Diceros bicornis minor: one gene and its partners. The protein of the gene in region 3 purifies or fractionates together with the protein of the main gene of each other region. This does not show direct contact. Links are inferred from orthologs where the notes say so. Each region holds a gene or a part of one and is shown on either strand. Other genes may lie near its edges.

The links. The genes of interacting proteins can lie anywhere in the genome.
Region 1: the proteins of SAP30 (region 3) and SIN3B purify together in Homo sapiens (affinity purification with mass spectrometry; 4 studies listed by BioGRID and IntAct, with this or other methods). This does not show direct contact. The link is inferred for Diceros bicornis minor from reciprocal best matches to the Homo sapiens genes SAP30 and SIN3B.
Region 2: the proteins of SAP30 (region 3) and BRMS1 purify together in Homo sapiens (affinity purification with mass spectrometry; 3 studies listed by BioGRID and IntAct, with this or other methods). This does not show direct contact. The link is inferred for Diceros bicornis minor from reciprocal best matches to the Homo sapiens genes SAP30 and BRMS1.

Annotation. Positions count from the first base shown.
Region 1 is NC_080759.1:4,917,501-4,924,723, forward strand, and holds the start of SIN3B (paired amphipathic helix protein Sin3b), read left to right. Parts: upstream 1-4,204; 5' UTR 4,205-4,214; coding exon 4,215-4,319; intron 4,320-4,559; coding exon 4,560-4,666; exon of another isoform or gene 4,667-4,817; intron 4,818-5,954; coding exon 5,955-6,108; intron 6,109-7,223.
Region 2 is NC_080770.1:7,002,222-7,010,080, forward strand, and holds the start of BRMS1 (breast cancer metastasis-suppressor 1), read left to right. Parts: upstream 1-4,840; 5' UTR 4,841-4,909; intron 4,910-4,928; exon of another isoform or gene 4,929-4,949; intron 4,950-7,799; 5' UTR 7,800-7,806; coding exon 7,807-7,859. Other genes in the region: B4GAT1 (beta-1,4-glucuronyltransferase 1), read left to right, coding at 2,367-3,422, 3,656-3,847. UniProt on the Homo sapiens protein: Transcriptional repressor. Down-regulates transcription activation by NF-kappa-B by promoting the deacetylation of RELA at 'Lys-310'. Promotes HDAC1 binding to promoter regions.
Region 3 is NC_080750.1:59,892,672-59,899,676, reverse strand, and holds the start of SAP30 (histone deacetylase complex subunit SAP30), read right to left. Parts: upstream 3,006-7,005; 5' UTR 2,711-3,005; coding exon 2,390-2,710; intron 783-2,389; coding exon 657-782; intron 246-656; coding exon 147-245; intron 1-146. UniProt on the Homo sapiens protein: Involved in the functional recruitment of the Sin3-histone deacetylase complex (HDAC) to a specific subset of N-CoR corepressor complexes. Capable of transcription repression by N-CoR.

The DNA of each region.
Region 1 (7,223 bases), on a different chromosome or scaffold from region 3:
CCATGCCCATTCACGTACCTATTGCCTATGGCTGTTTTCATGCTACAGGAACAGAGAACGTATGGCCCCAAAGCCAAAAATATTTACCATTTGGCACTTTACAGAAAAGTGTGCTGACCCTGATCTTAAGGTTTGATTAGATTCAGGGTAAAGATTTTTTTAAATAGACTTTTTTAGAGCAGTTTTAGGTTCACAGCAAAACTGAGCGGAAGGTACAGAGATTTCCCATATGGCCCTGCCTCATGCATGCAGAGCCTCCCCCACTACAAGTGCTACATTAGTTACCCTTGATGAACCCACATGGACACATCATAATCAGAGGGGAAACATTTGTGACAAGGCTACTTCATAGGAGTGTTAGTTGCCTATTACTGCATAACAGATGACCACAAACTCCACAGTTGAAAATAACAGCCATTTATCATCCCACAGTTCCCGTGGGTCAGGAGTCCAGCCACAGTACGGCTGGGTTCTCTGTGCAGGGTCTCACAAGCTGTCATCCGGGCTGGAATCTCATGGAGAGGCTTAGAAACCCCTTCCACGATCACTCAGGTGGTTGGCAGAAGTGAGCTCCGTGCAGCTGTAGGACTGTGAGCCTCAGTTCCCAGAGGCTTCCTCTCTCCATAGGCATCTCCCCACACAGCTGCCTCCTCCTTCCAGGCCAGGAGGGTCACACCTGTCTGCTGCTGCGAGGCTCTGACCTCAGACTGTCTTTTAAAGGGTTCCCCTGATTAGGTCAGGCCCACCCAGAATAATCTCCCTTCTGATGAACTCAAAATCAACTCATTTGAGACCTTAAATACACCTGCAAAATCCCTTCACCTTTGCCATGTGGCATGCCCTAATCTCAGTCCAGAGTGGGGGATCAGATAGGGCATGCACACCAGGGGTGGGACTCTCTGGGCCCATCTTAGAATTCTGCCACAAGTCGTGATTCTGGGCTTTAGAGATTTTTGTCATAAAGCTTACCACCTGAGAAGACTTAGATTAGTTCAAAATAGGATCTTTTGATCTTGTCCTCTCAACCTTGCTAAAATACCGTCCAACGAAAGACCTACTTGCGAGTCTTATCTTAATGCCATTAAATCTGTGAAATGGTAAGGAAATTTGTGTTCCAGTTTGGTCTATCCAAACTGTCAACTCTAAGGTGTTCAATTTAATCTGTGTAGATGAGAATAGTAAAGGAAAAAATTCAACTTAGCAACTTTTTATGCTTTATAAAAATAAGAATGAAAAATGTATGTGTACCATTGTCCACATGTTGAACACACACTCACACACACACGTGCATACACACGTGCCCACAGGGAACTGGCTTGTGGTTTCCTGTTCTCCGAATGACTGAGGGCTTCCTCTGACCATATGAGATCTATGGAAAGTATGAAAAACTGACAGTGGTCCTTGAAATTTGAACAGAATCCACTCCTTGGGGAAGGGGGGCACTGTTGTGAGGACCCTGTTGGCATGTCAGATGCCCACACAGGCCTTTGGTCCTCCAGGACAATGACTGATAGGTTGCCAGGCAGAGTTAGTGTGAAAAGGACTGTCCAGACATCTGGTGGCCTCAAAGGGTTTGGGCCACCTTAGCTGCTGTTCATATGGGAATGCGCTGAAACTAGGGAGGATTCCTCCCTGGGCTGGGAGCCAGTATCATGGATGCTTCCTTCCCCTCACCCCGCACATTCACCCAGCACCACATCATTTCTGCTTTACCTTCTAAATATCTCTCTCTTCCATCCCCTCCTCTCCACCTCCACTGCTCCCTTCCTGGTCTAAGCCACCAGCATCCTTTGCCTAAAGGATGAAACAGCCTTCCTGCACCGTCCCTGGCGCCCCTCCCATCACTTCCCTGCAGAGCAGCTGGAGCATTCGCTTCTACATTCAAAGCTGCTCACGCAGCTCCTTGCATTAAACCCATGCGGTTTCTACCAGCGCTAAATGCCAAGACCAAAAGCCTTCACTCGTCCCAGAAGGATGAGTGGACTGCCCTCGCTGGCCCCTCCATGCTTATCCTGCACCCTCTCTCTCCCCTTCCCATTCCTCTGCAGTCTGAGAACACTGGTCTTTTTTTTTTTAAGTTATTCACATGTGCCAAACTCCCTCCCACCTGAGGGCCTCTGCACAGCTGTTCTCTCTGACTTTTCTCATGGCGAATGCATATGCATCCTTCAGATCTCACTTAGAATGCCACCTCCTCTGGGAAGCCTTCCTCATCCCCTGCTAGACTGGCTCAAGTCCCCCGGGTGGCAGGTGCTATTTTCCAAAAATGGTCATGGCAATATTTCTTGTCTCCCATACTATTCCAGAACCTGGCCACGCCCCAGGTTCTAGAGTCTGTTTGCCCTCCTCTTGAATTTGGGAGGGACTTTGTAATGGTCATTATGCAAAGATTGCAATGGAGATGATTCTGCGTGACTTCCGAGGCTGGATCAGAAAAGGCAACGTGGCTTCCACCTGGCTCACTCCCTCCTCGCAGATGACTGTTCTTGGAACCCAGCTGCCATGTTTTGAGGACACTGGGGCTGCGTGAGGAGGCCACATGTAGGTGTTCCCGGCAACAGCACCAGCATGGGTCTCAGCCTACAGCCAGCAGCAACTGACAGAAAGATGGAGTGAATAAACCTTCAGAAGGCTCCAGTCCCAGCCACCCAGCTGACACCAAGGGGCCAGTGATGAACTATTCTTGCCAAACCCGCCCAAATTGCAGATTGGAGTGCAAAATGAACGTTGTTGTCATTCTAAGGCTCTAAATCTGGGGTGGTTTGTTATACAGCCATAGTAACTGGAACATAGTAACTGTTACACTTGTACTTTCTCTTTGAAGTGTCTGTTACAGTTGAAGCTTTACATTTGTGTGTGTGATTATTTGATTCCTCTCCTTCTTGAAACACTGAAAACTCTATGAGGGCAAAAGCCTTGTCAGTTTTGGTTACCATTCTATTCCTGACAGCCCAGCACAGCGCCTGGCAGATGATGCACTCATTGCCAGTGTACACTCAGCTTTCCTGCACCTCTTCACATACAAAAAGAGATGCCATTTTGTCATGGATTGAATGTTCATTCCTTTAATAAATGCTCACTGATGTGGCTCTGTATCAGGAATTTGTGTTAGAGATGAAGCACAAAATGCAGGTGATGTACAAGGAACTGTGGGAGGGCAAAGGGGGGCTGGGGTAGCTTCCTGAAGGTGGGGACATTTGGGTTGTGTTTTGAAGGATGTTTAGGTATTTTCTGGGTGATGAAGAGATAGAAGAGGGCAAAGGAAATGGTATGTGCTGATGCATGGGGCCAGGGAGCAGCCGGGCTGGGCAGGCATTGGCAGGAGGTTCTGCACAGATAGGGAGGGCAGCTTGCTTGGGTGGGAAATTCTGCAAGAAAAAATTCACAAGGGTCAGGTTCTTATGGCCTTCAGTGCTGCGTGTAGGTGCTTAGATTTCTCTCACAAGAAAAAGGAAGACCTTGGAGGTTTGGAAGCAGTTGTGGAACGATCTCAGTTCTTGACAGCACTGGGGCTGGGAAAACCGGTGAAGAGGCTGCTGAACTGGTCTAGTGGGGAAGCGACGGGGTCAGGACGAGGGGAGTGAAGACAGGAGGAGGCAGACTAAGTCAAGAGCCATTCAGCAAAACTTCACCGCGCAGGACCCTATGTTAGGGTGCTGTGTGCTCATACCCCATTGTCACATCAACCCCATAAAGCACAGGGTTTTTCCACGCACTGCATAAAAATGTCCACAAACGTTTTTTAGTAAATATATCAGGCTCTGCAGATCTTAGGGTTTGTCACAGCTATTCACCCTGCTGTTGTAGCGCAAAAGCAGCCAGAGATGATAGCATGTAAACGAGTGGGCGTGCCTTGTGCCAATAAAACTATATTATACAGACACAGAAATTTGAATGTTATAGAACTTCCAAGTGTCACGAAATAATGTCTTCTGGATTTTTTCCAACTTAAAAAAAAAGTAAAAACCATTCTAAGCTTGCTTGCGGGGCCGGACAAATGCAGGCAGCACGTCTTGCTTTGCCCAACCGTGCTGTATAAACCGCATACCGCATTAATCAGTATTTCGGTTTTAGGGGCAAGATCCCACAGCGAAGTCCTCAGGAGCCCCGCCCCTCCTTAAAGTCATCAAGCCCCGCCTCCGGGGCAGAGCCTGCGCATGCGCAGCCGGCCCTGGGGGGGGGGCGCGGAGCGAGCCGCGGCTCCGACTTCCAACATGGCGCATACTGGTGGCGGCGGCGGTGGCCCCGCGGGCCGGGGGCTGAGCGGCGCCCGCTGGGGTCGCTCGGGCTCCGCGGGCCACGAGAAGCTGCCGGTGCACGTGAGTGGCGCCCCTGCCCTCCCGGGGGGGATCCCGTTGTCCGGCCCCCCCAGGCCGGCGCTCCTCACCCGGGCCCCGCCCGGCCCCGCCTCGGCCTCCCCTCTGGGCAGCCCGGGACCCCGGACCCCCGGACCCCTCACCTCGGGCCTTCGGAGGCCTGGCCTGACCCCCTCCCCCCCAGGGACCCTCGTTCCTTCCTCCGCCGACCGGGACCCACTGGGACCCTCCCTCTCCCCGCAGGTTGAGGACGCCCTCACCTACCTGGACCAGGTGAAGATCCGCTTCGGCAGCGACCCTGCCACTTACAACGGCTTCCTGGAGATCATGAAGGAGTTCAAAAGCCAGAGGTACCGGCGGGCCCCTCCCTGCCTGGGGGGCCGCCCTAGGCCGCAGTCGGACCGAGCCGGCTGGGAGCCCCCAGCCCCGCTGCCCCCAGCCCGGTGACCTTGCGCAGGTCGTCGAACCTCTCGGGGCCTCCGTTCCTTCTAGAAAAGGAGATTGGAGAGGCCCCTCCCTCCCTCGTGGAGCTGCTGTGGGGCTTCCTGGAAGAAGGGCAGGGGTCGGGGAGAGGCGACGGAGGCGGGTCCAGCAAGCACAGGGTCGGATCCCATCTGTAACTCAAAATGCTGATTTTTAAATGAATTTTGTTCATCAAGAATTTTTTAAATTAATTTTGATTTTTTTCCACGCACTGTATTAAAATGTCATTCATCTTGATTATTGAATGTTTTGGCTCCCTCTCCCCCTTAAATCTTATCCCCAAGATGAGTGCCTCCCTTGCCTCACCCTGGTATCAGGCCTGCTGGAAATAATGTGCATAAAACGCCCGGTAAGAGACCTGGCACGTAGAAAGGATCAAAAGTACATTAGCTGTGTTTTGTAGGTGAAGAATCGGTAGGTTTAGAGATAGACGGGGGACCTCATGATCACCCCCTTGTTTGACAGAAGGCTCACTGAGGCTTAGAGTGGGCCAGGGGCTTGCCCTGACCCTCCTTAGGGGCAGAGATGGCACTGGAACTTGGGTCCTCTGGCTCTCAGGTTCTCGACTGTCACGTCCTCACCATGGTGCTGCCCTCTTTGAGGAAATGTGGCAGGGTGGCTAGGGTTCCTTCCGCAAGTGGGATGCTAAGGCCTTGGGTCTTGACTGCAGCCATGAAGGCGACCCCTCTCTGCCCTTGCATTCTTACCAGACTCCACGCTTGCAGGCTGTTTGGTATTTATGTGTTGCATTCAGTTGTTGGGATCAACTCCTGTGGCATTGTTGATCCCTAATTCGTACGAAATGAAGGAATTTATCACATCACTTAGAAGGCTTTGGCCTCCTGCCACTTTTTGGAGTCCAGGACTGGCAGTTGCACTCCTGACATTTTCAGAACCAAGCTCATGTGCTTGGAGTGTTTGGGGAAGCTGTGTGGTGTAGATATTCTGTGGTTCTCGCCAGGAGGGCACAGGGAGCCCAGGCCTGGCTGCTCTCATGTTAGATCACTGCCCGCAGAATCCTACCAGTCACATTTTAGGGTGCATCGTGCCCAGTCCAGAAGCTGGTTACGTGGCACCGTCAAAGGAGTCGGGAGTAGATTTCGCTTGTAATTTGCTCCGCAAGACACTTTTGCCCACTGCTGTTCTTTGTTCCAGCATCGATACTCCTGGAGTCATCCGCCGCGTCTCACAGCTCTTCCAGGAACACCCTGACCTCATTGTCGGATTCAACGCCTTCCTTCCCCTCGGGTACAGAATTGACATTCCGAAGAACGGCAAGTTAAACGTACAGCCGCCTCTGTCGAGCCAGGTATGCAGCGGCAGTGGTTGAGTGACCTCGGCCCTCACGTGGCCATGCTGGTACTCAGGTCAGGCAGTGGGCCTCATGTGTCTCCTTGCCGGAAAGCTGGTGAAGAGCTGATGTTTTTCTAGGCGTGCTAATCGCTTCTAGCACAAATAGATCAATAGATCAAAACACCGCCACAGGCAGCCTCTGCATCCCAAATTGATCCTTTTGGAGGGTTTAAATGTAGAGTGGATGTGTTTGTGTGTGTCAGGGAGGCATTCTCCTCACACAGTTTTATGTCCAGTCAAAATAACGGTATCCACAGTCGCCAAGGGCTTGGCTTGAGGCTGTCCTTGTGAGGGCGCTAGGCAGGCCACGCTTGTGCTTGGGCATGTGGTCCCTCTGGTCACCCTCCATGCCACGCACAGAAATAAAGCGGTTGAGATGCGTGTATGAATGACCGTTTTTATTTTTGCTGTGCTGCCCGCCCCGTGGCTTAGCGGTTAGGTGCGCGCGCTCCGCTGCTGGCGGCCCGGGTTCGGATCCTGGGCGCGCACCAATGCACCGCTTCTCCGGCCATGCTGAGGCCGCGTCCCGCATACAGCAACTGGAAGGATGTGCAACTATGACATACAACTATCTACTGGGGCTTTGGGGGAAAATAAATAAATAAATAATTACCAACAGGGCGTTTGGCTCAGCTCAGGTTTGTAGCTTTGGTCCTTCTCTCTTGGGTGACAGCTAACCTCTGTAGTCCCTTCTTGCTTGATCTCACCAGACCCCCTGAGAAAAAGAACGCCTATTTGAGCTTTACTTTTCTAGGGTAACCATTTTTTTTTTCTCCACCTCGGCCCTGTTGCCATTTCAGGCATAATGTTTTGCGGCAGTGGGGCGGGGTGGGAGTGAGGGTGGTGCGGGCTGTCCGTTGCCGTAGGGATGTTTAGCAGCATTCCTGAGTCCACACACTAGGCCCTCACCCAGTGGGGACAGCCAAAAATGTCCCCAGACATTGCCAAGTGTCTGCTGGGGGCAAAATCCTCCCCCCACCCCCAGGGGTTTTAGCAGAGAAGGTAAAAATCTATGCAGGAAGCATTTTGCAGGTTTCTCCTCTGCTGAGGACGGTTGCAGTGTGTATCAAT
Region 2 (7,859 bases), on a different chromosome or scaffold from region 3:
GAGAAACCTTTTACTTACTGGATGACAGGTTTATTATAAAAGGACACAATTCAGAACAGCCAGATGGAAGAGATGCATAGGGAAAAGTATGTGGGAAGCAGACTCCTTGTTAATGGTTTTTGATTCTGGTCTTTGATTCTTTCAGGTCCCACTCCATCACTGCCAGTCCCTCTCCCCAGCCAGGCCTCTCTGCCCACAAGAGCAGGCTTTTGGCCTTCCTCTGGGCCTCTCATGTGGCTTTCCTTGATCTTAACACCCCCCCAAGGCCCAGTCACCACTTTTCAGTCTCCCCTTAGACTAGGGCCCCTGGGGACACTTCAGAAGCTTCTTATTTACTCATTCAACAAACACGTCTTGATGCCTGCTGTGTGGCTTGCATTGCAGTGGCCAGGGGGGGCAATGTGGGCAGACGCCCAGGGAAATCTTCAATGGAGGTAGTAAATGGGTACTGTGTGAGCACTGCAGATGAAACACAAATGTTTAAAGCCCCGACAGGAAGGCGCAGGGTTGAGACTTTGGCAAAGGGAGGACTGTTTGCAAAGGGAGAAACACTTTTATGCTCTGGCCAATTGTCACCCTGTGGGAATGCAAGCCTGGCATTGCCAGATCTTCCAGAATTTAAAACAGAAGTTGGAAATGTGAATTATATGTGAAATCTCCTGATTCCCCAAAGTTAACAACTGACGTGATTCAAATTGTTATTTCTAAACACTAAGCAGGTCAAAGAAAACCCCTGTGGCACCAAATCTGCTTCTGAGCCTCCCTGATCCTTATGATGGGATCCACACATACCTTTCTCCTCTCTCCTGGCACAAGTCACCAGTGAAAACCTTCAAGGACAGTACCCTTGTCCCCTGCAAGGCCCCACGCCCGGTGCCTAACACAGCCTCTGCTGCAGAGCAGGTATTATTATTCAGGGCTGCAGAATATAGGTCTCCTGGTCACTTCTCAACTCAACAACCCTGGCTCCCTACTGCCTGTGGAATAGCGGTCAAACCCCTTACCCTGGCATGCGAGCCCTCCTCAGTCTGTCCCAAAGCACCTTTCCAAGATTCACAGGGCTCAAAAAATTATGTATTACATATAGTAATTGATTTAGCAGTCAAAGAACCTGCCTTTCCCCACAGCCTCTGCTCTTCTAAAGAGTCCTTAGATCGTTTATTCCACACTTATTAAGCGCCTTCTGTGTACGCTGGCTGGTGTGAGAATATTCAAGGCCTTCTGCTTAAGTGCGTGTGTTGGGGAGGGAGGTGCGTGGATACAAGGTCTCCGCCCTGGGAGAAGGGCTGCGGGGAGGGGAATCAGTGGGCTGAACAGAGAAATAATTTAAACGATCAAACACCCCTCCCCCCAAGTTCCACTACTTCAGATAGGGAGGGCAGCACCTTCAGGGGGCGTTTCTAATTCCTGCAGTTAATATATTGGCCCCCAATTAGGCATTGGCCAGAATTTTGGTTGTGGTCTTCTAGGTGCCACCCAACCCTTGGCCCTCTTCTGGAGAAAGAAAAGCACACTTCCGACCTTCGCCCAGAAGGTTCAGACACCTGAAGTACGAAGTGGCCAGAGATGTACGACGAACAAAGGGGAGAGAGGCCCGGGCTGCGCCGAACTGCGTCCCATCCTCAATTCCGTGCTCTTTAACCTGCTGCTCCAGAGAAGCGGCATGTGGAAAATTAAGAATGGTCTCCCGCGTAAAACACGACCGACGAGGATGGGATTCGAACCCACGCGTGCAAAGCACAATGGATTAGCAGTCCATCGCCTTAACCACTCGGCCACCTCGTCCCACGTCCAGCACCCCTTTCCACATTCCCTTATCTCTCATCTCCTCCGCACCTTCCGGGACCCCCTGCATCCATTCCTCAGAGCGGACTTCGTAGGACCTAGAAGGGGGAGACGGCAGAAAGAAAACGGCTTTTTGTGTTCCCTTCCACCCGCCGCAGCCGGGAACCCGCGCCATCATTCTCCAAGCCGCAGCCGAGCTCTGGCAAGGTTTCCCCTCCCTGAGCCGGGGGCGAGCTCGCCGGGGTTTCAGGACGCGCTTGGTTCAGGGGGTCGCGCAGTGATCGGGAGAGAGGGGCTATGTGTCTCTGGGAAGCTGGCAGGCGCGGCGGCGCGGCCGCGGGGAGTTTCAGAGTTTGCAAAGCGCGCGGCGCGGGCGGCGAGTGCAGTGGCTCCTCCTCGCGTGCAGGGGGCGAGCTGGCGCGCCTGGAGGCCGGCGCGGGCGGGCGGGGCTGCGCGCGGGGCTCGGCTCGCCTCGGCTCGCTTCGGCCGCGCTCGGTAGGCTGCGGTAAATCCGGGCTTGCGGCTGCCGGCGGAGCCTGCGGCCCGGTGGTCCCTGCTGCGCGCCCTGCGCCCCGAGAGCCATGCAGATGTCCTACGCCATTCGGTGCGCCTTCTACCAGCTGCTGCTGGCCGCGCTAATGTTGGTGGCGATGCTGCAGCTGCTCTACCTGTCGCTGCTGTCCGGGCTACACGGGCAGGAGGAGCAAGACCAGTATTTCGAGTTCTTCCCCCCATCCCCGCGGTCCGTGGACCAGGTCAAGGCGCAGCTCCGCACCGCGCTGGCCTCCGGAGGCGTCCTGGACGCCAGCGGCGACTACCGCGTCTACAGGGGCCTACTGAAGACCACCATGGACCCCAACGATGTGATCCTGGCCACGCACGCCAGCGTGGACAACCTGCTGCACCTGTCCGGCCTGTTGGAGCGCTGGGAGGGCCCGCTATCCGTGTCGGTGTTCGCGGCCACCAAAGAGGAGGCGCAGCTGGCCACGGTGCTGACCTATGCGCTGAGCAGCCACTGCCCCGACATGCGCGCCAGGGTCGCCATGCACCTCGTGTGCCCCTCGCGCTATGAGGCCGCGGTGCCCGACCCCAGGGAGCCGGGGGAGTTTGCCCTGTTGCGGTCCTGCCAGGAAGTCTTTGACAAGCTAGCCAGGGTGGCCCAGCCCGGGATCAATTATGCGTTGGGCACCAATGTCTCCTACCCCAATAACCTGCTGAGGAATCTGGCTCGTGAGGGGGCCAACTATGCCCTGGTAATCGATGTGGACATGGTGCCCAGCGAGGGGCTGTGGAGAGGCCTGCGGGAAATGCTGGATCAGAGCAAGCAGTGGGCGGGCACAGCGCTGGTGGTGCCTGCCTTCGAGATCCGCCGAGCCCGCCGCATGCCCACGAACAAGAATGAGCTGCTGCAGCTCTACCAGGTGGGCGAGGTGCGGCCCTTCTATTACGGGCTGTGCACGCCCTGCCAGGCGCCCACCAACTACTCCCGCTGGGTCAACCTGCCAGAAGAGACCTTGCTGAGGCCTGCCTACGTAGTGCCCTGGCAGGACCCCTGGGAGCCATTCTACGTGGCTGGAGGCAAGGTGCCCACCTTCGACGAGCGCTTTCGGCAGTACGGCTTCAATCGCATCAGCCAGGTGCTCAGAGGGGAAATGGGGCAGGAAGGGTGGTGGGTTCAGGGAGCTATGAGTGGCCCTGAATGGAAAGGAGGCAACGAGGCAGGAGGGATCATAGTTCAGGACGTGGTTGGATGGTGTGGAAGATCCAGGATGCCTCCAGAGTAGTGGGGATGCTGGTGTGCTGCTTTAGGGATGTTAGCCTCAGCTGAAGGAATGTCAACAAACTTGCTGACCTGTCTCTCCCCCCACAGGCCTGTGAGCTGCACGTGGCAGGATTTGATTTCGAGGTGCTGAACGAAGGTTTCCTGGTTCATAAGGGCTTCAAAGAAGCCTTGAAGTTCCATCCCCAAAAGGAAGCCGAAAATCAGCACAATAAGATCCTTTACCGCCAGTTCAAACAGGAGTTAAAGGCGAAGTACCCTGACTCCCCACGTCACTGCTGAGCCCTTCCCTCTCCTAGTCTGAGAAGTCAGCCTCCTCCCTCCTTAGGCCACCCCTCAGGCCTGACAGGGGTGAGAAATTTCACTCCACTTTGCAGTGGTAGCTGTGGTGTTAGAACACTGGACTTGAATATGGGGTGCTGGGATCAAATCCTAGCTTTACCACTAACTAGCTGTGTGGCCTTGAGCAAATCCTGTTCCCTCTCTGAGCCTCAGTTACCCCGTCTGTAAAAAGGGAGGTGAGAATATCTACCTCACAGAACTGTTGGGAGGCTCAGATGAGATGCTATATGTGAAAACATTCTGTAAGCTTCGTACAAATGTAAAGTATTATTAATATTATTACAGTATTATTATTATTAACAGTCTTGGGTGGGTGGGTAGTAGGAGAGCAAAAAGTATGCATGGGACAGAGCTAGAAGTCTGAGTACTTAACAACATGGACTTTTTGGAAAGAAATCAGAGGAAGGCGTTGAATTTAGTTCTTAGGTTTTGGGCAGTAGCCTAAACTTCCTGGTTCTCCCAGCCTTCCGTCCTCGGGGACTCTGGAGAAGGGAAGGGTCTGCAGGTTGTGTGTGTGGTAGTCCGCGATCTCTAACCCTCGAATAGGCTGGGCTGAGTTATTTGCCTGCCAGTGACAATGTGTAAATAAATGAGTGTTCACATCTACAGCTGGCTCCATTACTCTCCTGTACCGGGCGGGCGGGGAGGTCCCGGGTTCGCCCCTTTCACGCCGGGGGTGGGAGATGGCCGCGGACCAAGGGGCGACGGCTGCAAAGCAAGGAAACCACAAGGGCCTTTCCCGCCGGCTGAAGACCTCTGTGCATTTCGGCCGGTTGCTATGGAGACCGGCCCGCAGTATCCCAGCATGCCTTGCCCCGAGCTGTCCAATTATGAGCTCTCCGACGGGCGCCTCCTGATGATGCATACGGAAGCGCAGACAAGCCCCGCCTCCCGGAGAAGAGCGCCGGCGCAGCGCTTCCGGGAGTCCGGCGGCCAATACCCGTAGTTTCGGGGTCCTCTTTGGGAGTCGCGGACGTGAAGCCAGAGGACCCACTCTCCGCGGTGCGTATCGCCACCCCTGGTCCCTGGTTTCGCCTCTTCGGTCAGTCGGTTCGGAGCCGGCCCAATCTCCAGGGCCGAAGGGGAGACTTAACCGGCTGGATGCTTGGGGAGCCGCAGCTGGCTGCGGAAGAGCCAGTGGCGGGAGGCTTCGGCGCCCCGCGGAGGGGCTGTTGGCCTCTTCGAAGGTGGGGAAGAATCTGCCTTACATGGAGGCCTGCCCTCGAAATGGTTACTTTCTGAAAAGATAAATTGCATGTGCACGGCGCCTTACAGTTTGCTTTTCCATCTCTTACCCTTTGCGATCTTTACAACACTTAGAGTAGCAGTGCTTGTCCTTTTTTTGCACCCGAGGTGTGTGTGTGTGTGTGTGATTTACTTTAGTTCACTGAGTAGAATCAGCGACAGCTGGAGAGACTCCCTCCCTCCGCCGCCCTTTCTGGTCCCGAAAGGTAGGACTTAAGTCGCGTCTTACAGAGTAAATATATTTAACGGTTAAGAGGGATTGCGAAATTTGGGAACTGCAAGAACTGAGGCTTGAGAACGGGAAAGATAAGGCTGGTTTGGTGAACCCAGGTTTTCAGGTCAGGTTCAGATCGTTTGTGAAATCATTGAGGAATGTGACTAAGCTGCCCTCTAGGCTAGTTATTTACACAACTCGAATTGGCCTCCGGGAAAGTTAACAGAATATTGGGTTTGCTACCACTACAGGGGCCTGACGCTACCAAGAAGTAAAAGCCAATCCCTGCCCCGCAAAAGTTTGTTTTGTTTAATTTGTATTTGCAAATCCACCAGTTACCAAGTGAGTCAGTACTGTGTTAGGTGAATACGGCGCATGTGCAGCCCTGCCCTGGTGAGGCTTACAGAATGGCTGGGGAGACAGGCATGAGAATGGACAAATAGAGAGGTGATGTAAGCAGATAAAGCTTCCTGGAGGGAGTGTTGTCTACAGTGATCTAAAGGACTACAAAGCAGGGCCCAGAGAGTTTGGGAAAACATCACAGTGAAATAGAAGCCCCCAGCAAGCGGAGATTATCTGTTGAGAGGACTGTTGAGTCTTCCTCTCAGGTGATCTCTTGGTAACATTTGGCCCTGTCACTGCTCCATCCTTCTGAAATTCTCTCTCCCCATAACTTTGAGTTTCTCTTCCTCCACCTCTTGCTAATTTCCTTCTCCTTTGTAGAGGTTGCATCATCTGTCTGTTTGGTGACCCTGGGAGTTCCATCATGGGCCTCTTCTCGCTCCACACATTCTGCCTTGCTGATTTCACCCTCCCTCAAGACCTGAAAAACTCGCTAGATGCTGATGACCAGATTTCTGAGCCCAGATTTCTCTCTGAGGCTTAGATCCACGTGACCCCAGCTCTGCTCCTTCTCTCATTATATGCTACTCACTGTACTTGGAATGTTCCTTCCCTCAACCAGCTCAGCTCCTCGGTCTGGCACACCTTCCTCTGCAAGCCCTCACTGCTGCGGCAAGCTCCAGGTTTCTGTTAGATGCCTCTCCCATCTGCCTCCAGTCTCAGCTCTTCTCACACCACAATAATGGTCTGTTTCTTTGCCTCTCTCTCCCAGGAACTTGTAAACTCCTTGAGGTCAGAGACTGTCTGTCTGTCTGTCACAATTGTGCCCAGTACTACCATAGTGTCTGATGGTACCTAACATATATTAGATTTTTTAGTAAATAGTAGATGAGTGAGGGCCGGCCCCGTGGCTTAGCAGTTAAGTGTGCGCGCTCTGCTACTGGCGGCCCAGGTTCGGATCCTGGGTGCGCACCGACGCGCTGCTTCTCCGACCATGCTGAGGCCACGTCCCACATACAGCAACTAGAAGGATGTGTAACTACAACATACAACTATCTACTGGAGCTTTGGGGGAAAAAAAGGAGGAGGATTGGCAATAGATGTTAGCTCAGGGCTGGTCTTCCTCAGCAAAAAGAGGAGGATTAGCATGGATGTTAGCTCAGGGCTGATCTTCCTCACAAAAAAAAAAAAAAATAGTAGATGAGTGAATAAAAGAAAGACTGCTTAGCAGTGTTTAGTGTTGCTGCAAAGTCAACTAAGATAAGCACTGAAAAATGGCACTAGGTACAAAGAGGTCCTTGGTTAACTCTACAGGAGTAGTTTCAGCCAAGCGATGGTACTGAAATGGACTGGAACAAGCTAGAGGTGAAAGAGTAGGACTAGCAAGGGTGCACAAGGCCTTGAAAGTGTAGATGAGAGGCAGACAGCGGGGAGCAGTTCAGTGGAATGGGGTGAGGTTTTGTGTTGCTGCTTTTTCTAAATGGTGGACAATCCCTGAGCGTGTCCACAGTGTCATAGGAAGGAGCTGGCGAGAGGGAGAATTGAAGATACGGAAGAAATGACATGAGATCCCACAGGAAGCAGAAGGAGATGGGATTTGACCCAGAGCCCAGTGAGAAGACAGGAAGATTGTCGAGTGTTCTCAGGAAGGGAAGTGGAGGGTGTGGAGCACGAGAAGGGGGGAGGAAGTGCATGGTGTATGTGAGAACTGGCCATTAGATGGTGGGGTGAGGAGCTGGACCAGTAGTCCAAGTCTAGTCTTTGCAGGGCTTTGAAAGCCCCAGTCCCAAAGGCAGTGGGGAGCCCCCCTTGGCCTTTTCCATCTTATGAAGCATCACCTTGGCCAGTATTCCCAGGACTGGGATCACTAACAGTGGCCAAGGGCCTGGGCGTTTCTGTGGCTCCCACACTTCTGGAAGATGTGCAGACAGGGCCGCTTGCAGCCTCCCCACCCATCATGTGCTCAGGGTGTGGTGCGTCCAGTCACTTCCCCAGCTGTCCCTGTCTGTGGTCAGGCTTGGTTTGACTCCCCACGTGGCCGCTTTCCTGCTCGGAGCTGCGGGCTGTGAGTGATGGCTCCACTCCTCGCAGAGCCCAGATGCCCGTCCAGCCTCCAAGCAAAGACACAGAGGAGATGGAAGCAGAGGGCGA
Region 3 (7,005 bases):
CCACAATAGATTTTTTATTAACTTTGATCTTTCTAACTAAAATATATTACTATATACACTACGTTAACAATTTCATTAGCATTTAATGACCCTTTTTGCATGAACAGGCTCATTTAAAGTTTAAATAGTTTAAAACTCATATATACCTCAACAAGTTGCGCTTTATTAAGTCCTGGTCTGGTTGGCAGTTTGAAGTGTCTTTTGTATCTCCTAAGTGTATTTACTTGTAATTGGTATAAATCGACCTAGAAAAAATTAACATACGTGAATTAGTTCACAGAATCTGTTAAAAACTTATCTTTAATATGTATAATAACATTTCAATTTCAGCACAATAAAAACTTGATTCCATTATTAAAAAAGCTTTTTATACAATCAAAACTAAAAATGTATTAAACACTTTAATCTTTTGAGGATAAATAGTAAAAACTAGGGGCAAAAAAAAGATGTAAGACAACGCAGCTATGAGGTGTCAATTGAAAATATAACAAGTAAAATTGTGTAACTGCATGTTAACTGGCTATATTTAATTTTGCTTTCATTTTCAGATTTTTCAAATGCTTTAAGTATTTAAAAAATTTGTTAATATCTTTTTATAAAAGTTTCAGAATGGACTACTTAGGATTTACATTTAATATCCAAAAACTTGCATCTACCTCTGGAGTATCAATATCTTGAACAGGTGAATCTCCTCCATCATCATCACTCCCTTTTCTCTTTCTTCTGTTTCGAACACTTTGAATTAAGTTTTTATGATAATCACAAATGTAAAGATGCCTTGCCTGAAACAGAAAATTTCACAGACTACTTATGATTACAATAAAATGTTTCTATATATTTAGTAAAATACATAGGCCACAGTGAATTATTAAAAATAAAAACAACAGTCAAAACAAGCCATTAAGACAATGGCATGTTTCTTTCTATTCTTAAGTCCTGCACCCAGCTAAAACATACTAAGTCTTACAACACTGTTAAGAGGATTGGGGGGTAGAGTGGTGAGGGGTGACAGTAAAGGAGGGGAGGCAGGTAGAGGAGAATGAGAAATTTCAACCCTCTGGATTTAATCATCAAATTACAGTGAAGGTGAACTAGATTAGTTAGGTCATCCTGTTTTATAACAAGGGGAAAGATGATGTTGCGCACCATTTCGCTATTTGATAGTATTTTTTTCTACTTAAAGATCATATTTTAGTAGCATAATGTATGCTTCCTCATCTTTCTTAATACTCCGATTACAATCCAGATACAGAACTATCCATTTTTACAAATGTTATTGATTTCATATTCTAACTATATTTAAATTTGAATTATAAACTTTTCTGAGTATTAAATGTTACTTATCTGTATTACGTTTTTCCAATCAAAGCAATGTGAAATCATTCAAATTTACCTGAAAAGTTTCTCATGAACACGACCGAAGAACTAACTGTTTTAACAGGCAGAAAGTATCACAAATAAACTCTTCAAAAACTTTCATTACATATAGTCTTGAGAGCTGTATAGTAACATCTGAAACACGGAGCTTCACATTAACAGTTACTCTTTAAAAACCAATTAAAGACCGAGCTAATAGGCTTTTAAATTAACTTCTAAGCTATGTGCAAGTTAAAAATATGCCGGGCGTGTGCTAGGTTCTGACATCTTGTTATTCCTTTACCGCCAGGCAGAGCTCCGAAAACTGGCAATGGTTATTTCTAAAAACCTCTTTAGAGGATCAAAAGAACAGACGTGCAAAGGACGGAAAAGAATCCTGATGGCTGCCGGCGGACGGCAAACCCGCAGAGGCTACGTGCTCCGCACGTTCGGAGCGGCTGCCCCAGCCCCAGATGCTGACACCGCCGACACAGTTCACAGTCCTGGCTCCCTGCGAGGCGCCGGGTGAGCTCGGGTTCGTTCTCACTCCGTGCTCGGGGGAACGAGGAGCGGGATCTTGCTTGACTGCGGGGTCAGGTCCTTGCGGGACTCCACTTTCCCTAGACGAGGGGAGCTACTCCCTGGTGCCAAACGCCAGCTTGGGCAGCAAAACAAAGAAGGCGCCTCCATTCCAGAAGGCGCTGCCGGGCTGCAAGAAAACTACTCCGGGCGGTCCCCTTTGTTTCGTTTCCCGATCTCCGCGGACGAGGAAGGGGAAGACAGAGAGCGGGAGAGGCAGGGAGCGGGGGGGATGGGGGGAGGAGCGGAACCGCAGCGTGCAAGTGTGCGTGTGTCTGTTGGGGGTGGCGGTCGGAGTTGCAGCGACTTTGTTTGCTTCCTACCAGAGACCCCACAACGTGTTCGCACTGCAACCAGGTCCGGGGGGACCCCTGAAACCCCCGCCCAACAACCCCCGTCTGCACCGCTCCCGGAGCCCCAAGGGGGCGGGCAGGGCAGTCCCGTAGTCACTTACGCTCTTATCCAGCTCGATCTTCACCTTCTTCTGGGAGATGCTCTTCTGGATCCTCTTGCTGAAGCTGGCGTTGCCCGCCGCCCGGCCGCACCGCTCGCCGTCCTCCCGCAGACAGCACAGTTGCCCGGGGCCCGGCCCGGCCGCTCCCGGGGGCCCAGCCGCCGAGACCGCCCCGGCGCCGGGGACCTCAGCCCCGGCCCCTGCCCCGGCCCCGTTCCCCGCCGAGGCGGCGGCGGCGGCGGCGGCGGCAGCGACCACGGCGGCCACGGCGGCGGCCGCGTCCCCGCCGCGGCTCATCTCCTCCGGCGTGAAGCCGTTCATGTCTCTGCGCTCAGGGGCGCCGGCGCTGAAAGAAATCCTCGCCCGCCTCGCCGCTCCCTCTCTCTCCAGAGACGCCGGGGTCTCGGCGGGGTCCCTCAGGCACCTGCCCGGCGGCGGCAATTCACTCTGCACCTCAAGTCCTCCGACAGCACAGCACAACACCAAGTGTCCCCGGCCTGCTGGTGTCTGCCGATGCCGGGTCAGTGGACAGGGCTTGGGGTCGGGAACTAGCGTCGGGCGGCGCCTGGAGCCGGGACCCCACTCACTGTCACATGGAGACTCTTCAGCAGTTGGACCACAGCGCCTCCGCCTCCCTCCGGTTGCTCGACCTGCGCAAGCGCGAAGCGCCCTCTCCCGCCCTCTCTGCAGCAGGGCACCACGGGAATTGTAGTTCTCTGCAGGGGAGTCAACCTGAGCTCTGCTTTAACGCCGCGCGTCGCGGGTTGGAGGAACTACTTATCCTAGCATGCATCGCGCGACGGCGGGCCGGGTTTTTTTTTTCCCCCTTTTTCTTTTTTAAGCTCGGGGAAAATAGGGGCGTGTGGTTGTGGTTGCGTTGTTTTCTCTCTTCTTATCTCTCCCGGGGAGCTGTGTTGTGTTTAGCTCCTGGGATTCTGCAGAGGTGGCATTCTAGACAAAGAGGTCACTCAACTCCTGAGGCGAAGCACAAAATGCGGGGGGAGGAGAATAAGCGTGTGGGAAAAAGTTTCGGGGCCGTTTTTCTATCTGTGGAAAAAGAGTTTTTGGTGCGACCATGTTTTTGTGGGAAACTCAAACCAAAGAGAACTCAGGCGACCTGGCGCTCTTCGGGTCCTGGAGGTCCGGCAGCTAGCTCCACATCTGGCTGGCAGCTCCATTCATTGACGCACCAAATTGCTCAGAGCGCCTGCTTACGGGAAAACGCCCATCCCGACCTCTCGCCCTCCAGATGCCTCCGCTAAAGGCCGTTTCTAAATCCTTGCACGTTCCTGCAAGGAACGCGTTTTGTTCGCGGGCGCAAAGTCTGCTGCTTCCTGAGGTGGAGCTAGTGACTAGTTGACTGTAACAGGGCTTCTCTTCGCCTCCACCCCCAATCTTTTCAGTTTCTCCTCGAATGAACCTGGAGAAAGGCGGAGTCTAATATCATTTAAAAGGGGACGCGGAACCCCACAAATACCGAGTTAGCCTGAGTGCTTCCTAGAAACTCCCCAGCGTTCGCTCTGTGAAGCGAGAAGAGAGAAATAAGCCACATTTCCTCGGTGGTCCGCACGCGCGTGTGCGCTTGTGTTGCATGCGTATGTGTATGCATGTATGTGTGTGCGCGTATGTGTGCATGTACGTGTATGTGTGCGCGTTTGCGTGTCTGTGCGTGCGTGCATGTGGACGTGTGCTTGTGGAGGGCGGGGTAGAAGGATGGGAGCGGCTAATATGAATGCTGCGGTTGTGCTAGTTACGCTGCGTCGTTATTTATCGGTAGATATATGCTGTTAACAATCCCATTGTTTGAACAAAAATACAAAGCAGTATTATTTTGCAAGTTCCTGTAGACTTACAGAGTAAATTTAGTGATAGACGATTTTTTTTTTTTAAACGTATAATGTCATCTGCCCTGAAATTTAAAGCCACCCGTTCCATCTGTGTGCTTCGGTTCTAGGCTATGGCAAAGGAAAAAAAAAAAAGAAAGAAAGAAAATATTACGTAAATTGAGTAAGCAAAAGAAAAGCGCTGAATGGTAAGTACTTTGTGTTATCTTTTTACGCTGCTCTGTCCAATAGGGTGTCCTCTAGCCATATGTGGCTATTGAGCGCTTGCAATGTGGTTGTTGTAACTGAAGAACTGAATTGTTAATTTAATTTTAATTAACTTAAATTTTAAAAACTGATTTCAGTTATTGGAAAACTTTTAAGTATATTTGGAACAACTTGGATATATGAATCTGTTTTTTCAACTTAAATTTTATGTAATCTAAATTTAAATCTAAATCCAAATTGAGATGTGCTGTAAGTATAAATTACCAAGGGGATTTCAGACTTAGTACCAGAAATTTTTTAAAAAAAGAATATTGAATAGCTTATTAATAATTTTTATATTGATTACATGTTGAAATGATAATATTTTGGATATACTGGGTTAAATGAAATATAACATTAAAATAAATTTTACCTGTTTCTATTTTTTTAAATATGGCTACTATGACATTTAATATTACACTTGTGGCTCACATATTTGTCTTAGATAATGCTGGTTTAAAGTATTAAAACAGAATAATACTATCGTTTATTAATATATTTTCTTAAATGGTAAAAATGAGAGCATGTGGAAGAGATGGATATGCTCCAAGGGTGGTGGTCATCTCTAAGGAGAGAGGCCAAGGGATAGTATCTGGGAATCAAAGGTGGTCTCTATGGTATTTGTAAGTTTTTTTTTATTAAAAAAACATCTGAAACAAATATGATATTGGGTTGTTGGATTTTCATTTTTTCTTTCTACTTTTATGTATTTTTTAAATAATTCATAATTATTGTTTGGTTCTTGCCCTTAAAAGTTTATAATCTATCTTCTGCAAAATGTGATCAAATTAGTTCATGTATATACTGTATGTATGGTTTAGTTACGTATCAGTTTCATATGAATTTTACTAAAGTGATGAATTGTAGTTATATGCTTTCTTTACATACAATACAGTCTTTTCAAAAGGTCCAATTAGGGCCGCCCTGTGGTGTAGGGGTTAAGTGTGCGTGCTCTGCTGCTAGCGGCCCGGGGTCAGATTCCATGGCCCGGGGTCAGATTCCATGTGCGCACTGACGCACCCCTTGTCAGGACACGCTGTGGCGGGTCCCAGAGGAAGATGGGCACGGATGTTAGCCCAGGGCCAGTCTTCCTCAGCAACAAGAGGAGGATTGACACAGATGTTAGCTCAGAGCTGATCTTCCGCACACACACACAAAAATAAAAGGTCCAATTAAACTCTCCTTTATTGCATACTAGGATCTTTTCTAGGCCTTGGGGATACAAAATTAATTGGGAGAGGGTCCTAGCCATTTTGGAGTTCTCTGTTTAGTAGGGGAGATGGGTAGCTTAACAAGCACATGATACATGCTGCTGTAGACTGAATGTTTGTGTCTCCCCAAAATTCATATGTTGAAACCTGATCCTCAAGTGATGATATTTGGAGGTAGGATCTTTGGGAGGTGAATAGGCCCTGAGGGCTGGAGCTCTCATGAATAGGATTTGAGACTCAGAAAAGAGGCTCCAGAGAGCAACCTCATCCCTTCCACCATGTGAGGACACAGTGAGAAGACTGGCAGTCTATGAACCAGAAAGCAGACTCTCACCAGCCACAAATCTGTCAGCACCTTGATCTTGGACTTCCCAGCCTCCAGAACTGTGAGAAATAAATTTTTTTTGTTTATAAGCCACCCAGTCTATGGTATTTTTTTTTATAGCAGCCCAAACAAAGACACATTCCTCAATAAAATTAGAGAGACTTAGCACACAGGAGGAAATGATTCATTTCTGGCAAGTAAAAAGCATTCCTGGAGTAGATGACATGTAAATTCTCCATGCCGGATTTAAAGTATTTCTTCTGTGAATCTATTGTCCATACAAAGAAATTTTCATAACAACCGTGGTTCATTGTTTATTTCTACAACTCTTCATATCCAGGGCAGGTAAGAATTCCTTGCTTTAAGAATAATTTACAATCAAGGTTGGAACCACGTTTTGGGAAGCTTCAAGCTCATAAAATTTGAGTCTTTAAGAAAAAGTATATAAAATTAAGAATGCAAAATTAGGTACAGGCCTGTCCAAGTGAAGGACTATGAACTTTACATCCATTAGCTTCATTATAAATGTACTTCAGAGTAGATAATATGGAAATATAGATTTATGAAACCTAAGTTATAGGAGGGTTGTTGATATCATCAAAATATTCTTTGCTTTCTGAAAAGATTCAAAATATGATTCTTTAAAAAGTATTTTTCCCTGCCTTTCTTCTCTCTAAGGCTTTTAACATGATTGAATTTTTCTGGTTTTATTTTTAAATAAAAAATTAAATGTAAACAATTAATTGTAAATTTTAACTTACAAAAATATCCAAATTGGCCCATAATCCTAATATGAACATGATTTTAAGTTCAAATAATAAAAGGTTCAATATGAAAAACAGAAGCCTGTTTCCCCTCATCTCCTCAAATCCCTGTCCCTAAAAGCAAGCAATGTTAACAATTTCTTGTTTCCTTCTAGAAAAAAATTATATGCATATACCAGTATGTATGTATATATATGTTTTTTTTCAGCTAAGGATCACACTGTTT